4 linked regions of the Drosophila melanogaster genome follow. The protein of the gene in region 2 interacts with the protein of the main gene of each other region in a pairwise test. Each region holds a gene or a part of one and is shown on either strand. Other genes may lie near its edges.

Evidence for each region.
Region 1: the proteins of CG2712 (region 2) and Irbp18 interact in a two-hybrid assay, tested with the Drosophila melanogaster proteins (one large-scale study listed by BioGRID).
Region 3: the proteins of CG2712 (region 2) and idc interact in a two-hybrid assay, tested with the Drosophila melanogaster proteins (one large-scale study listed by BioGRID).
Region 4: the proteins of CG2712 (region 2) and Noa36 interact in a two-hybrid assay, tested with the Drosophila melanogaster proteins (one large-scale study listed by BioGRID).

The regions. Positions count from the first base shown.
Region 1 is NT_037436.4:11,096,911-11,099,942, forward strand, and holds Irbp18 (inverted repeat binding protein 18 kDa), read right to left. Parts: upstream 1,277-3,032; 5' UTR 1,232-1,276; coding exon of another isoform or gene 1,201-1,231; coding exon 1,090-1,200; intron 963-1,089; coding exon 732-962; 3' UTR 536-731; downstream 1-535. Other genes in the region: CG33947 (uncharacterized protein), read left to right, coding at 103-151, 1,182-1,231; APP-BP1 (beta-Amyloid precursor protein binding protein 1), read left to right, coding at 1,775-1,842, 1,900-2,064, 2,121-2,766, 2,833-3,032.
Region 2 is NC_004354.4:2,730,553-2,734,946, reverse strand, and holds CG2712 (uncharacterized protein), read right to left. Parts: upstream 2,479-4,394; 5' UTR 2,383-2,478; coding exon 1,777-2,382; intron 1,717-1,776; coding exon 1,462-1,716; intron 1,392-1,461; coding exon 747-1,391; 3' UTR 545-746; downstream 1-544. Other genes in the region: ttm50 (tiny tim 50), read left to right, coding at 2,899-3,157, 3,230-3,413, 3,470-3,998, 4,058-4,181, 4,241-4,394.
Region 3 is NT_033777.3:20,030,012-20,034,839, reverse strand, and holds idc (identity crisis), read right to left. Parts: upstream 3,018-4,828; 5' UTR 2,901-3,017; coding exon 2,730-2,900; intron 2,676-2,729; coding exon 1,675-2,675; intron 1,517-1,674; coding exon 1,382-1,516; intron 1,325-1,381; coding exon 1,214-1,324; intron 960-1,213; exon of another isoform or gene 799-959; coding exon 651-798; 3' UTR 545-650; downstream 1-544. Other genes in the region: Regnase-1 (regnase 1), read left to right, coding at 1-544; trem (trade embargo), read left to right, coding at 3,630-3,776, 3,831-4,591, 4,648-4,782.
Region 4 is NT_033777.3:28,597,545-28,601,270, forward strand, and holds Noa36 (Noa36), read right to left. Parts: upstream 1,745-3,726; 5' UTR 1,678-1,744; coding exon 1,186-1,677; intron 1,094-1,185; coding exon 638-1,093; 3' UTR 515-637; downstream 1-514. Other genes in the region: Hrb98DE (heterogeneous nuclear ribonucleoprotein at 98DE), read left to right, coding at 2,974-3,024, 3,162-3,651.

The sequences.
Region 1 (3,032 bases), on a different chromosome or scaffold from region 2:
AGAGAGCAAGACCTAACGGGACACCCGAAACCAAAAACCTATCGGCACAACGACACTTTCTCAATAGCTATAGTTTTAGTTCATATGTTCATATCTCGGAAAATGGACGAGGTCTTTAGCCTACACATGGAGAAATTGGACGTTTACGACGGTTAGTATCTAATTTGCCGGAAGTTCTACTTAAACGTAGAACATATGTATATGATGGAATCTGGGTTGTATTTCTGATTAATGAGTTCATCAACTTTCAAGGAAATAATAATAGTAGTAGTAGTTGTAAACAGCTGAAGTATTGGGTATAAAATAACACTGATATGGGTAAAATCATAATAGACACTTTATTTGATTCAAGACTCGCATGATTTTAGCTGTATGAATCATGTCGAAAATAATAGAAATCACTATTACTAAATATAGATAATTTTAAAATTTAGATTCAGTGCAACATGGATACAGTGATTAAGTGTTACAATATAAACAAAAGTAAAAGAAAAGTACAACAAAAACAAGTATTTGGTGAGAAATGATAAAAACTCACCAATAATGAAAACCATTTATGTAGGATTTTAACAAACACTGTTCTCGTCTGCATGAGTGCTTGTCTTTGTAATAGAATTCGAGCAATTGCACCATTTTAATCGAAAAACTAAGATGATACACATGGTTAACAACCATGGGAAATGGCTTAAAAGTATGAAAATATAAGAAGGTAAATCAGGAGAAGCTCCTCGTTAGTCATTGTCCTTGGGATCGGGATCTGGTTCAGCGAGAATCTCCTGGATGATTCGATGGCCGTCCTCCGTTTTCTCACCCTGAATGATCAGATCTCTAAGCGTAGATATATGTTTTTCACTCGTCTCGATCTGAACCTTAAGAGCATCGTTTTGCTTCCTCAAATCATCGATGCGTTTCTTACGTTCCTCGGCCGATTTCTTGGTCTTTTCGCGTGTGCGCTGAACAGCCTGTTCCGAGAATAGTAATAAATCAATAGTGGGCATCTATTTTTGGGGACTTCTGGGGGCCACGGCGCCACAGCAACATGTTTCCCAATCTTTGCTCTCTGTTTACATCCAAAACTCTTAAACTTACCTCATTGTTTTTCTTTCTTTTTTCTTTGTACGCTGGATCGTCTGTGTGCGGACTTAATGGCGAATCGCTATTTTTGCTGGTCGACGCGGCAGTTCTCTTTTTGGCCGGCATTATCTCCGTGATAATACTGATATTTATTTAGTTCAAATTGGATCGCAATCGGACGGAAATGCAGAAGAAAACACAGCGATGTATGCGTTGTTTTGTTGTGAAATTACACGATAAAACAGCTGTTCATTAGCCCTCCCAGTGTTGCAAAATGCGCTGCCTACACTGCCCAGCCAACAAACAGTTAGCGGTATTATTTAATTAAATTAATTGCATGTTGAAAATCAATATTAAAACTCACCCAAAACCATAGCCATGGAATGCTATTCAAAAACTGTCAACCAGACACTTTATTTGGTTTGCTCAGACTTTCACTTTTTAATTTCTCAACTGTTTATACATTTTATTTGTAAAGACTGATTGCTTGTACGTAGATGTAGTTTAATGCAATAAAATTAAATGAAATGTAATACGTAATAGTCAATAAATGTTTTAAATAAGCAACAGTTAAAATTACCAACGTGTTTTTTCCAACACTCCACCCAATAAACAAATTGTGTCAGAAGTATTGGCTGCCGGCGCTTTACAGTACTGGATTATTTGCAACCGGCTTATTATTGCACAAAAATCTAGTGAAATGTCCTCGCCAGCCCCCAAATCGCCAGAGCTTTCGGATAAAAGCAAGAAATACGACAGACAAATCAGGTGAGGAGCGTTTTAATTGATAAATTCGGAAGCATAGCACTGATGACACCTATTTAGGCTGTGGGGAGAGCATGGACAGACGCTATTGGAGGCAGCCACAGTATGTTTGGTGAATGTTACGGCCGTCGGCTGTGAAACTGCCAAGGGACTGGTGCTACCCGGTATCGGAGGCTTCACTGTGGCCGATGGCAGCACCGTCAAGGAGGAGGATCTGGGCAACAAGTCGGTAGACCATCACACATTCCCTGACCACCATTATAAAGTCACTTTTTCCGTAGTTTCTTCCTCGATTCCAGCTATCTGGGCAAATCTAAAGCATTGGCTTGCATGCAACTTCTCCAGGAACTCAATCCCGACGTAAATGGCGATTATGTCGACGAGAGTGCCGACTTTTTATTAGCCAACAGACCGAACTTCTTCGACAGCTTCGATTTAGTGATTGCCTCCAATCTCAATGAGCAGACTTTGCTTCTCCTGGCCGAACGGTTATGGGAGCTTAACGTTCCATTAATCTACTGCCGATCGCTTGGCATGCTGGGCACAATACGCTTGCAAATACGGGAACACTGCATCGTGGAGGCGCATCCGGATAATCGACAGTTTGATCTGCGTCTGGAGCATCCATTCGATGCTTTGCGGGAGCATCTCGACGGCACCGAGGTGACCAGTAAGGTGCCCTGGTTGCTGGTTCTTCACAAATACCTTAATGTGTGGCAAAAACAACAAGCGGATGGGACTCAAACGCCTCGAAATTACAAAGAGAAGAATCAGTTGAAGGAGACCATTAGAGAGGAGATGAAGGCGGATGAGGAAAACTATGAAGAGGCCATCAAGGCGGTCAATACAGCCTTTGGAGCGGGACAGGTTCCCAAAAGCCTGAAAGCCATATTCGAAGATGATGCCTGCGAACAGTTAAACAAGAAGGTTGCCCATATAATCTGAATTTATACGTATACTTTACTTTCATTTGTTTTTCTTTTTTTTTTACAGAGCAACGTCTTTTGGATCATGGCCAAGGCCCTAAAGCACTTTGTGATACATGAGAATGAGGGCCATCTCCCTCTGCCTGGCGTTCTGCCGGACATGACTGCCAATACGGACTCCTATATCGCCCTGCAGCACATCTACCGCCAACAGGCGCTGCAAGACGCCGACCAGGTGTATCACAAGTGCCAGGAGTACCTTAAGCA
Region 2 (4,394 bases):
ATCTTGAGATGAGAGTCGTCCAAGCTGGACGATGGAAAGGAAAGCCACGTGTGCCTCCAAGCCTCATGTCCCACTGATATTACTCATTACTCACTCATCCCACCCACCCACGTTATACCCACTAACATTTATGTTTTTACGCGACTTTTTGTGATCTATACTCATTTTATGTATGCCAAGTATTAGCAAGCACTCACATTGTCTGAACATATATATTTATTTATACATTAACTTTATGTATCGCGCGGCAGCGTAACGCGTAGCTCCCAATCCACACTTTTAATTCCCAGCCCCATTTTGTTTGTTACCCGCTCGCACACTCGTTCCGCACTACTCTAATTGGTTTCTAGCGCGTAAGTTCAATGCAGCATAGTAGCTTAGCTTAAGGTCCCCACACCCGCACCCGCACCCTCACCCTTAGCCACTATCAACTACAAAACCCAATCGAAACTTCCATATGTATAGAGATTCTCCCGCCTCCACCTGATAAACTAAAGCTCATTACATTAAATCAAATCGAAAGGATCGTCAGAAGACTCGAAATGTTTGTTGACCATATATAATATATATGTATGTATGAAACACGCATTATTTTGGGTGGGAAAACCAATCAAATTTATCCTAACAATAGGAACACACTTAAAACTTGTTATTGTGCGAAGGAAAGTACCGAAAATAAAAGCGAATTGAACTAAAACTAAATGTCCCGATTTGTACATTAAGCCGATAGTATAAGCGATCTAGCTTCAGGTCTCCACATTCTCGTCCTGCTCCTCCAGTTGGACACCCACTTCATGCTCGGCCCGCCTCCGCTGTCTGCCCGCCTTGTGCGACTGGCGATGGATGGCGAGTGAGATGCGGCGCTTGAAGGACTTGCCGCACTGCTCACAGCCGAACGGTCGCTCGCTGCTGTGGACGAGCATGTGGCGGTTGAGCTCGGATGTGCTGCCGAAGCTGCGCTTCTGGCACACCGGGCACGGGTGGGGCTTCTCCTGGCTGTGGCAGCGCTTGTGGGCAATCAGATTGCTCGAGTAGCGGAAGCGACGGCCGCAAATGTCGCAGCCGTGCGGCTTCTCGCCCGTGTGGGTGAGCATGTGCTTCTTGTAGCCCGACTTCTGTGTTAGCCTCTTGCCGCAGATGCTGCACTCGAATGGCTTGATTCCGCTGTGGATTAGAAGGTGTGTGCGCAGCGAGGACGCCTGCCGGTAGACCTTGAAGCAGGTGGGGCACCTGTTCGGATTGTTACGATCGTGCAGCGTGACATGGCCGTCGCGGGCGTTTCGCGTCTTAAAGGACTCTCCGCAGATTGTGCAAACGTAGGGCGTGGCCGTGCCATGTAGCTGCATATGGTACTTGAAGGAGTTGTTGGTGCTTAGTTGCTTGCCACAGATCTAAAGGAATGGAGGGAGAATTGATGACCTTCGGCTTTGAGTTATTTGCGAGCTGCGATGACCAACTTACTTTACACTGTAGGGAGGGATTGAGGGGTTTCCAAGGCCGGCTTCCACTGGGCAAAGTTTTCTGCGTCGCCGAAGTCTGTGCTGATTTCTCCACAATCTCGTAGACATCTTCGCCAGCTTTGGCCTGCAAAACGGGCTCCACTTGGAGGCACTCTTCAATGCAGTGGTCGTTGTCTTCTTGGCGAATTTTTGGCTGGCCATGTAGCCTCATGTGGTACTGAAAGGTCCGCTTCCTAGCCAGTTGTTTGCCGCAAATCTGCCGAAGATGGGAAACTATTTCGTGATTACTTACTTCTAATTCGGAAAGGCAACTCACGGGACATTGCAGCGCTGGCTCGGATCTTTCTAACCTGCTCCTACGTTGCTCCGGATCCGGATCGTCGACAATCTCGCAGAGATCGTCTTCGTGCTGTTCCAGTGCAATATCCAGCCTCTCCTCCTGTACAATTGGCGCTTCCAGCCGGCTCTCCGCCTCATCTGATTCTACGACCAGGAGTTGCTCCTCATCTCGTATCGTTTCTGCTGGATATTCAGTCACTTCCTGGTCATCGAGCACGAGTACAAAATCCTCCGGAATCTCGGTTGACAGCCTGGCCCTAGTATTCACCGCGCTGATCTTTTTGCTGCGGCAAAAGTCCGCATGACTCTGCCGCAGAATTCTGTCCATGCGATGGACACTCCGCTTGAATTCCAGCGAGAGCCGCAACTTGGCCACGCAGTCCGGGCAGATGTGGTGGGGCAGGAAGAGCTCCGCCTCTAGGATCTCCAGACCGCTGCAGTAGCTTAAAATGCTGGCCAGCGTCGCTGGTTTGCCGGAAATTGGATCGTCGAGCGGTTTGAAGAGCGGCAGGCAGCGCGGCGATGCTGTGTGGCACACGCGGCACAAGGCGTCCATGGGGGACGGCGGCGACATGGTCGTCATGGATTGAACTCGACAGTAGATAATACACGTTTAAATAAATAACTTAATTTAGCGTCCCGAACAGTGATGCCAAAGTCCAGCTGATGCGTTAGTGGTGGCACTCAAAATAGCTAGCCAGGCACATCAGCTTGGAAGTGACCAGAGGCACAGTGGCTTGGTGGTTGGTCAAAGGTTGTGTATTTCCATATTATTTAAAATATTTTAATTTAAAATTTTCTTAATACTGTGATTAGTCAGATTGCCGGAGGCAACATATGTACACACGCAGTTATCTGCAAAATCCCGCCAGATTTGGCTTGAAAATCGCCGATCTATACCTGCTGAGAGCCACGTGCTAAATGTACTAACGCCTGGTGCCGCCTGGCAGTGGACAGTATATAAAATCCCTAACGCCAACGCCGTGCCGGTGGGAAGTTGAAATTTTTGTTGGAATTTTTTATAAGTAAAAAGTCGCTGCCATCCGAGCAGGACTCGTGAACGGCTCTAGGACTCGATATCGGGAAGGAAGGGGGAAGCATGAGCATGAGCATGGCACCGGCCACCGTCCTCCAGTTGCTGCGCGGCCTTAGCACGCCGCGTCTTCTTACCCACATCCACCAGCACCGCGCATTGGGTAATCACTACCACCACTACCACCAACACTACCAGCACCAGCACCACCTCCTCCACCACCAGCAGCAGTACCTCCGACTATTCACTTGCACAGCACTGCCAGCGGCTGCTCCGGCGCTCTTCTCGATCCTGCACACAGCGCGTGGCTACAGCAGCACAACCAGTAAGTGATTCACGGTAGAGTCCTAAACAGTAGAGTCCTAAACATTCATCCTTGGCCACTTTCGTTTCGCAGAGCAGGAAGCTGGAGCCACTGGCCCCAATGATGCGCCCGAGGTCGCACCGAATGCCCCGCTGCTGGCCAAGCTCTTTCCTCAGACCTCGCCGGAGGTGGACAGCAACGCCGAGCAGGAGCGCAAGAAGCGCGAGGAGGAGGAGGAAAAGGAGAACGAGCGTGCCTGGAAGCGCATGAAGCTGGGGTAAGCTGACGCCCATTCAATGCGTAACAGTATTATAACAATACTTCCTGCTGCAGCTTTGCAATATTCGGAGGCAGCGCCGTGGCTGCTGGATTCTGGGCCGTCTACGAGTTCGGCAAGCCCGAGGTGGACCCCAACGGGCAGCCCATCGAGGACGAGTTCACACACAAGCCGCTGGTACAGCAGTATCTGCAGCGGATGTGGAAGAGCATTCACTACTATCAGCGCATGATCCAGGAGCCGTCGCGCGCCAAACTGCTGCCCGATCCGCTCAAGCCGCCGTACGTGCAGCCGCGCTACACGCTTGTGCTGGAGATGAAGGACGTGCTGGTGCATCCGGACTGGACTTACCAAACTGGCTGGCGCTTCAAGAAGCGTCCCGGCGTCGACCACTTTCTGGCCGAGTGCGCCAAGGACTTTGAAATTGTCGTCTTCACCGCCGAACAGGGCATGACCGTGTTCCCCATCCTGGATGCCCTCGATCCCAACGGCTACATTATGTACCGCCTGGTCAGGGATGCCACGCACTTTGTGGACGGCCATCATGTGAAGAACCTGGACAACCTTAATCGCGACCTCAAGAAGGCAAGTCATGCACAACGTATTTTCTATTGCAATCATCTATAAAGAAGGGAGTATTTTAGGTGATTGTTGTGGACTGGGATGCGAATGCCACCAAGATGCATCCGGACAACACATTCGGCTTGGCCCGCTGGCATGGCAACGACGATGATGGCCAACTGCTGGACCTTATCGCTTTCCTAAAGAGTAAGTTGCGCCACAAGTGACATTGAAAGCTAAACACTGACCCTTGCAATTCGCTACAGTAATTGCGCAGAACAACGTGGACGACGTGCGCGAGGTGCTCCACTACTATCGCCAGTTCGACGATCCCATCAACCAGTTCCGGGAGAACCAGCGCAAGCTGGCCGAACAAATGCTGGAGGCGGAACGCATCGAGCAGTCCAAGACCAAGCCAAT
Region 3 (4,828 bases), on a different chromosome or scaffold from region 2:
ACTGATTAGCCGGGAGCCGCTGGGGCGCACCAAGTCAAATACCATCGAGCAGGTATGTCAGGGCTTCTCCGCTCAAATGGATCTTTCAGAGGGTGCCGTGGAATCCAGCCAGCCCAATCGCCACAAGAAGCTGCAGCGCCAACAACCGCCGCCCGCCTACCGCCTGCTGGTGCCCACCTACAGTGCTCCCCTCCAGCAACAACAACACCAGGCACAGCAGCAGCATCAACAGTCCAACTCCAGCACCAACTATCACCACCAGTATCTGACGCGCACGCCATCCGCCCCGGTCACGGATCAGGGACTGGGTCTGCCACTGCCCGCTCACAACTTCGCCCATCTGTCTGCCTCCGATTCGCGCATCAACGAGGAGCTGCACGCCTCGCAGCAGCTTCCGCGGGAGGAGCAGCGCCGATTGCTGCGCTATCACCTGGGCAGCCTTTTCCCACCGCACCAGGTGCATGCCGTACTGCAGCTCTATCCGGAGGAGACCGACGCCAAGACCATATGCGCGGCTATTCTTAATTTATTTCCGCATAATTAGGCTAGGCTTAAATTTCATCAATATAATTAGATGTGTAATTACACGCGTGTTTCTGCTTAAAGTGTAAAGTGTCGCTTTGGGACGACGTGGAGTCCTCGCTCGAAATTTACATATCCAGGCCAACGATGTTGGCCGTGTCGTAGGACACCAGCCCGGCTACGGATTCCCGTGCGGACTGGCCGCGCCTCTCGTGGATGACCCGGTGGTTACGCAGTTTGTACGCCTGCGGGAATCCCTTGCCGCACACATCGCAGCTAAAGAGAGAGAGCAAACGTGTTTTAAATTGATTAGAATCCTTGATTAATTTATGTCTTCCTTATAACTTATAATATTTAAACACTAATACTTCATTCCCTGTTTATCTAATGTTATTTACGCCTCAGGCACCTAATAAACAATCAACTAAACTCAAAATATTAATATACTACGTAATATTCGTAAACAATAATCTTTTGAAACAGCATGGCTCTTTCAAAATAGTTTCCACTGTGAATTGTACATTCTTATAGAATAAAAAGTATATTTTTATAAACGATTTCCATCTCTCTATATCAAAAAAAAAACTCAATCTGGTTCTGAAGCTAGTGTATGCATAAACAATCTGTGAAACAGTGAAAGTTCGTGCTAGAGAATACGGACTGTAACCGCCAGGGGGAAAGCGAAACTTACACGTGCGGCTTCTCTCCCGTATGAATCATTTTGTGGAACTTCAAGGTGTTGGTGTAAGTGAATGTCTTGTGGCAAACATCGCACTCGTAGGGTCGCTCGTTGGTGTGGATTCTGCAAACGGGTAATTATTCAATCAAATCGGGTTTGGATTGGAGCTCACCAACTTACCTGTGGTGCTTGTTACGCGTGGACAAGTCGGCGAAGGCTGCCGGGCAATAGCTGCATTTGTACGGCCGATTTCCGGTGTGGGTGTTCATGTGGCGTGCCAGCTGCTGAGCCTGGGCGAAGCAATGACCACAGATCCTGAAAAATGAGATTTTAAGTTAATGAAGGCTTATTGAAAATGATTAATTACTTCCACACAATCATTATACCCGAATTAGACGGATATATGAGCTAAAATCGTAATAACACTCCAAAGAACATAGTGAACACGCAGTAAAAACTGTGAAGTTACTTACTCGCACTCGTGCGGCTTCACGCCGGAGTGGACCTTGATGTGCTCGGTAAGGCGACTCTGGGAGGGATACATGTTGCCGCAGACATCGCAGATGTACTTGAACTCCTTCTTGTCGCCAAGAAGGATCTTGTGGCCGCCTTTGGTTTTAATGCCGGAATGCTTGCGCGCCAGCACCTCGCCAATCGAGATGTCCTTCTCGGATTTGATGCTCATTTTGCTGCCAGCCGAATCACTGTTACCCCGCCGTACCTTAAGTGGATTGCCGCGGTCAGTTGTCTTGGAGGTACTCGATTCTACAGCCACCGAGGCCGTCGATGTAGCTGACCTGCGGGGATTCACTCTCCGCTTGGTGGCATTCCGCGCATGGATGGACGCGCGAACGCTTTTTGAGGGAACGAACTCCTCTTCGGTTGAGTTCAGATCGACTTCCGCATCATCCTCGTGGGCACTTTCGGTCAACTGATCATGCTCGACCTGGTCCAGGTATTCGATTTCGGCAGATAACTCGGACAGGGCTTGATCGGCCATCTCGTGGTCATAGCCCTGATCTGGGATGAGGTCGCCCTCGTACGTCTCATACACGTCATAAACCTCCTCGATTATGCCGTCCTCCTCCACCTGCTCGTTCTTCACGTGCACAATCCGATCCTTTTCCAGCTCAACGAGGATACCATCCTCAATCTCGTCATGGAAGACACCACCCTGCGTTTCGGCGGCATCGTCCGCCTCGGCATAGTGGCTCTCGTCCAGGTCCACATCCTCGTCTTCCTCGTCATGCTCTGGCTCCTGCTCCGCCTCATCGGGATCGACATCCGGCTCCAGCTTGGTGGCTGTCTCTGAGCCCTTTTTCTCCGGTGGTCGCTGCTCCACCTCTACGGGTCCAACGAACTGGCGCAGATGGCCGTACGATCTTTGGCAGGTCTCTCGAAACTTAAATGCCATTTTCAGCACCTTGAAGCACTTCTCGCATATCTTGTCCGGATAGTGATCGAACTGTTTGATCTGCCAAGGAAATTGCATTGTTATATGGTTCGGGGTCCAATGGGACAAACTTACGGGCACTCCGCCGCACTCGCGAATCATGTGGGTCAGATCCTTTTCCGAATCGTCGTTGAAAATGCTGGCCATGGGCTCCTTGGGCTGCTGCAGGCAAACCCGGCAAACGATCCACTTCTGCGTGCTCGTTGCCGCTGCCGCCGGACTCGCATGTGCTGCCGAGTCTCTCATTGTCGCGAATAGGAGATGGATCTCTTCCAGGAGGCTACTTACCCTCCGCTATAATATTTATAATAACACGCTCGCTGGACGAAGACGACGCCAAAAAAATAGATTGTAGTCTGGAGCGAAGTGCACGCGTTGCAATGCGAATGTCGCCACACAGGGTGACCACAGTCGACGCTAAGGGTATTCCATTCGCTACTTCAAATATTAAATATATAATTAAGAATACGAATGCATTTTGTGGGCAGTTAAATAAATCAGTAAAATTGGAATTCAAGTGTTTTACAATTTAAATATATAAAAGCTTGATTAAGCAGTTTAATACAATATTATATGTCAAGCTCATGTAAAGTTCCATCGTTCCATAAGACAGTGTGGTCATTACTGTACTGAAACAAAACTACTTTGATAGAATAGTGCTTTTCCTTTTTATTATATAAACGAACTTAAAACCATTTTCCTTCAATATTTGTAAATTGAAAATAAAATTAATAAAATGACGCGCATTTTTATATTATTTTCTACCAAAAAAAAATTATTTAAAACATTTGTTTGGTAAAAAGTGCACATACAGCTATGTACCCTGTACGCTCCATGTAGTCGTTCATAACGTGCATTCACCGTATCAACTTTGGCGGGCGCGTTTCGCTGTGAATGGCCAGTGGCCGTGGACGCTTAAATTCAGCTGTTTGAATCTTCTGCAACAACCGAAGTGATTGTTTTATCGAATTAGCCATGAAAACTGAGTCCAACGAGAAGTGGGTGGTGTGCCGCGTTTGCCTGAACAATCCCAGCGAGGGCGAGGAGCTGCTCCACGACATATTCAGCGAAACGGCAAGCACGCGACTGGACCAAATGCTGCACATTTGCGCAGGCATTCCAGTAAGTGTGAATCCTGCTTGGTTTGCCCATTTTAAATTATTCCAACCCAAACAGGTCAGCCTAGATGACAACTTCCCGGACAAGATGTGCAGCAAGTGCGTGCGCTGCCTGCGGCTCTGCTACAAGTTCCGTCTGACATGCCAGCGATCCCATCAGCACATTATGGACATGCTGGACCGGGAGGCCAGCAATGCTAACGCCGCCGGCGAAGGGGATTTGCTTAGCATCGCGGAGGACCTTTCGGTGGAGAGCGTACTGAAGTCGTGGGAGGACTACGCCAGTCAGCTGGATGGCGGCATGAAAGTGGAGGGCGAGGAGGATCAGCAACATCAGGTTATCACCTATGTCGTGGAGGATGGTGATACTGATGATACCAATATGTTCGATGTGCACGATCCCACGCAGCCGGTGCCAAATGAGATCGAGGAGGCTGAAACCTATGCTGAATACGAGGAATACGAACTGCTCACCAACGAAAACTCGCCGGAAATCGCACAGGAAAAAGGCTCCACCGGCACAGATGTTGCCACAGAGGAGCCGCCCGAAGAAGAAATTGCTGAAGACATACTCGACTCTGACGAAGATTATGACCCAACTCATGCTAAGCCGGAAAAATGCGACCGATCGGGCAGGAAGCCAGTTGCATACCACAAGAATAGCCCAAAAGTGGAAACCTTCAAAAAGAAGGTGGGCAGAAAGCCGCGCAACAAGCTGAGCACATACATCTGCGATGTGTGCGGAAATATCTATCCGACTCAGGCGCGTCTCACCGAGCACATGAAATTCCATTCTGGTGTTAAACCACACGAGTGCGAGTAGGTTTAAAAGTTGAAAGTAAATAGTAACTATGGCTAATAGGATGTTATTATAGGATCTGCGGAAGAGGCTTTGTGCAGAATCAACAGCTGGTACGGCACATGAACACTCACACGGGGAACCGACCATACAAGTGCAACTACTGTCCAGCTGCCTTCGCCGATCGATCCACGAAAACCAAACATCATAGGTGAGAAATATTCGAAACAGTTGAAAGTAAATTAAACTGACATTAT
Region 4 (3,726 bases), on a different chromosome or scaffold from region 2:
CAATGCCTAAAATGTTTCAGACTGATGATGGGTCGAACCCTGCCCACATCCCGTGCCCCACATGGCCCAGCAACCATCGCCCATCTACCCATTGCTGTTGCTGTTCCGCTCTGCCTAACTGACAAACATTCCCAAATGCCGAAGTGCGTGTCTTTCGCTTGGTGTGTGTGGTGTGTTTGCCATCGTTTTTGGAAATATTATATGCTCATACCTCCGTTTTCGAGTAAATTGTGTAAATATTTGCGCTCGTAAGTGGATTGGAGATGGATGAGTCTATCAGCAGAGAAGTTGGCGCTGGCAGAGCCGTTGGCATCGCCATCATCATATGCGTACGGGTTGGCCCTGCTGCTCCTCCCTGCCCAGGGCCATTATTTCCAATCCGCACCCGCAGTTCCCCAGTTATCCTCCCTTGTGGAATTTGGATTCGCATTCGCTTGCGCATTTACCTTTCGACTTTCGCCCACAGTCCACTTGCAGCTTGTTGCATTTTATAAAATGGCTACTTGGAAACTCTACAATTTGACAAAGAATTTATTTCCCTATTACATCGAGAGAAACGACTGCACAGCCGAGAATTCATTCGCACACTTAGAGGGACTAACAAAAGGCCATTTACGAGTATATAAACAATTCAGCCTTATTTGGTGGCCTTTTTGTCGGTTTCCTTCTCCGGTTCACTTTCTGTGGTCTCGTCCTCTTCCTCATCATCATCATCGTCTTCATCGCTTTCATCATCGTAGTCTCCATCGGACTCATCTTCATCGTCATCACCCCCGTAGGAGTAGCCCCCACTGGCGGCGCCACCATAATAGCCACTGCCACCGGCTCCATAGTATCCACCGTATCCCTCCTCGTCGTCGCTGTTGCCTCCTTGTTGCTGTCGCCCGAATTTGTGCGACCGCGTGGACATGCTGAGGTCCTTGGTCACCGAGGTATCGTAGTTGCACTTGGGGCATGGAATTGGCTTGTTCTTGTCGTACTTGAAGCCCTTGCGACGCACGTGATCCTCGCAGTAACAGGTCTTGCAGCGCAGGCAGGAGTATTGACCCAGCTTGTTGCACGATTGACACTTGTAGTTCTCCGACTCCAGCACCTGGAACCGAATGGATTGCATTACCAAAAGGCGTCATATGAATCTCAAAATGAAGTTCGGAACAAGCTTAATGAGTATTTTTGGTTACCCACCTGACAGCTGGCCTGGTGCTCGAACTGATCGTCCTCGCACAGGAATCCGTTGCAGAAGGAGCACTTGAAGATGCGCCCACCGTGCTCCCAGACACCGCGTTCGCACTCCAGGCAGGTCGCATTCTGCAGCGGACACGTGCAGGCGTGGTTTTGGAGACACTTGCGTCCGTGGCAAACCCAAGCCTCGCAGAAGTCGCAGATGGCGCCCACCATTCCGAGGCCCGTGGTGTAGACGCCCGGATGTTTGACCACGCAGTCGCCGGTCTTTAGCATGCACTTGATTTTCCCGCACTGGGCGCAAATGGGTAATCTCTGAATGCTCTGGCAGAAATAGCAGAAGGCTCTCGACTTCTGCTTCTTCTCGCACTTGTCGCACTCCATTGGTGCATTGCAGGGCAAATCCGCAAGAGGCACCTCTCTGCTGCGGATCTCCTTGAGGCGAAGCTTCTGCTTCTCGGCCTTCTTACGCTGCCCAGTCTTCTTTTTCGGCATTTTTGAAATCAAGGAATTAGAAAACTTATTTCCTTACGTGTGCGGCAGTGTGGCTGCTGCGGGTGCGCCGAAAAATACCACAAAAAGCTTTCGAATATTCCGCTAAATATGTAGCTACATCTTGAAAATAGCTACAAAAAATGCGTTAAATTAGCATCGTGGAGTTAGCGGCGACGGCGGAGCCGAGTAATTTAACACATCATTTTTCTGGCCAGCGTGCATTTTGGAATATGCTCTGCGAGTGGAGATATTCCTTGAAAAGTAGCTAGCCGATTTTTTTATTGCATATTTTATATACTTTCTGAGTCCTATAAACTTTAGTCGTACATAGATAGTTAGATCTCTTAAATAGTTCGATTTATTAAGATTTTTGCATTTGTATTTTTTTTGGAATTTACCTATAAATAGCGAAAAATTAAATAAATAAATAAGATTCTCATTTTCCATATTTCACCGTTCTGCCATAGACGCTAATTTGACCCACATAGATTTTCAGTGGAAACAAGTGGAAGCAACAACCGATTAGTGTAACCAAATACCTTTGCTTTTATTTAGGTCTAGTATTTTTGTAAGGTCTGTCTACGGCTTTCCTTTCCACAGGAAAATATATTTTCAGTTTTAGGGAAGGGGTGCTACAGTGAGCGTCTTTCGTTCCCAGTGTCGTTATTTCTATAGTATTGCTGAGATATATATCAGAGCAGTAAAGATATTTAAATATAAGTTCTTCGAAATGGGTGGTCACGACAACTGGAACAATGGTCAAAATGAGGAGCAAGATGTAAGTAGCACACAAAACCGCGACTGCACAGGGAAAAAACTCAGTTCGGCCATAATCCCAATATATATATATTTTGGTGATCAACGCGCTTTTACCCATGCGGCAACTAAAGTTGATGTGCTAAAGCATTTCGTTGCGGTTTTGTTACTTAAGACTAAGACTAACAGTAGTTGTATCTTAATAGTGCTAGGGAGTACGATGCTGTCGGTATTGGTTTCTCTTTTAGCTTTTTAGTGCAAAAGGCGTGATCAAGAATACACATGTTACACACATTTTTTAAGGCATGGTGAAAAGAAACAGGGCAGATATTGTAAAAGTATTGTATTGACAAGGGTGTCTGTCAACTTATCGTTATCGTTCTAGGTAGTATCGAATAGGTGCTGGGTTTAATCGGGTTGTAGAAACGGTCACACTGTATTCAGTTTTTTCATTCGTCTCGTGTGTCAGGGGACTTTCTCCATTTGCAATAGCAAAAAAAATAGTTAGATTAGAAGTTGTTCAACTTTTGCATTAGTAAAATGGTGAACTCGAACCAGAACCAGAACGGCAACTCCAATGGCCATGATGATGTAAGTAGTGGATATTAAGGGTCTAGAAATTTCCTGTAAGCTGGTGTCTCGCCTTGCCGGTCGCCATTTTGAAAATTACGCATGTGTCTCAAGGGCGGAAAGTGAGGTTATGGCCATTGATAAAATCAATAATTTAGGACTTTCCTCAGGACTCCATCACCGAGCCGGAGCATATGCGCAAGCTGTTCATCGGTGGCTTGGACTACCGTACCACCGACGAGAACCTAAAGGCTCACTTCGAGAAATGGGGCAACATCGTGGACGTGGTGGTCATGAAGGATCCGCGCACAAAGCGTTCCCGCGGATTCGGATTCATCACCTATTCCCACTCGAGCATGATTGATGAGGCCCAAAAGTCGCGTCCCCACAAGATCGACGGTCGAGTGGTGGAGCCCAAGCGCGCCGTTCCCCGTCAGGACATTGATTCCCCGAATGCCGGAGCCACCGTAAAGAAACTCTTTGTTGGCGCCCTCAAGGACGACCATGATGAGCAGAGCATCCGCGACTACTTCCAGCACTTTGGCAACATCGTCGACATCAACATAGTCATTGACAAGGAGACTGGCAAGAAACGCGGATTCGCCTTCGTCGAGTTCGACGACTACGATCCCGTGGACAAAGTTGTGTGTAAGTACAACGCTTTTCCTAATCTAGACAATATCAAATATCCTTTAAGAATGATTTATCTCTTCGAGAGTAGAC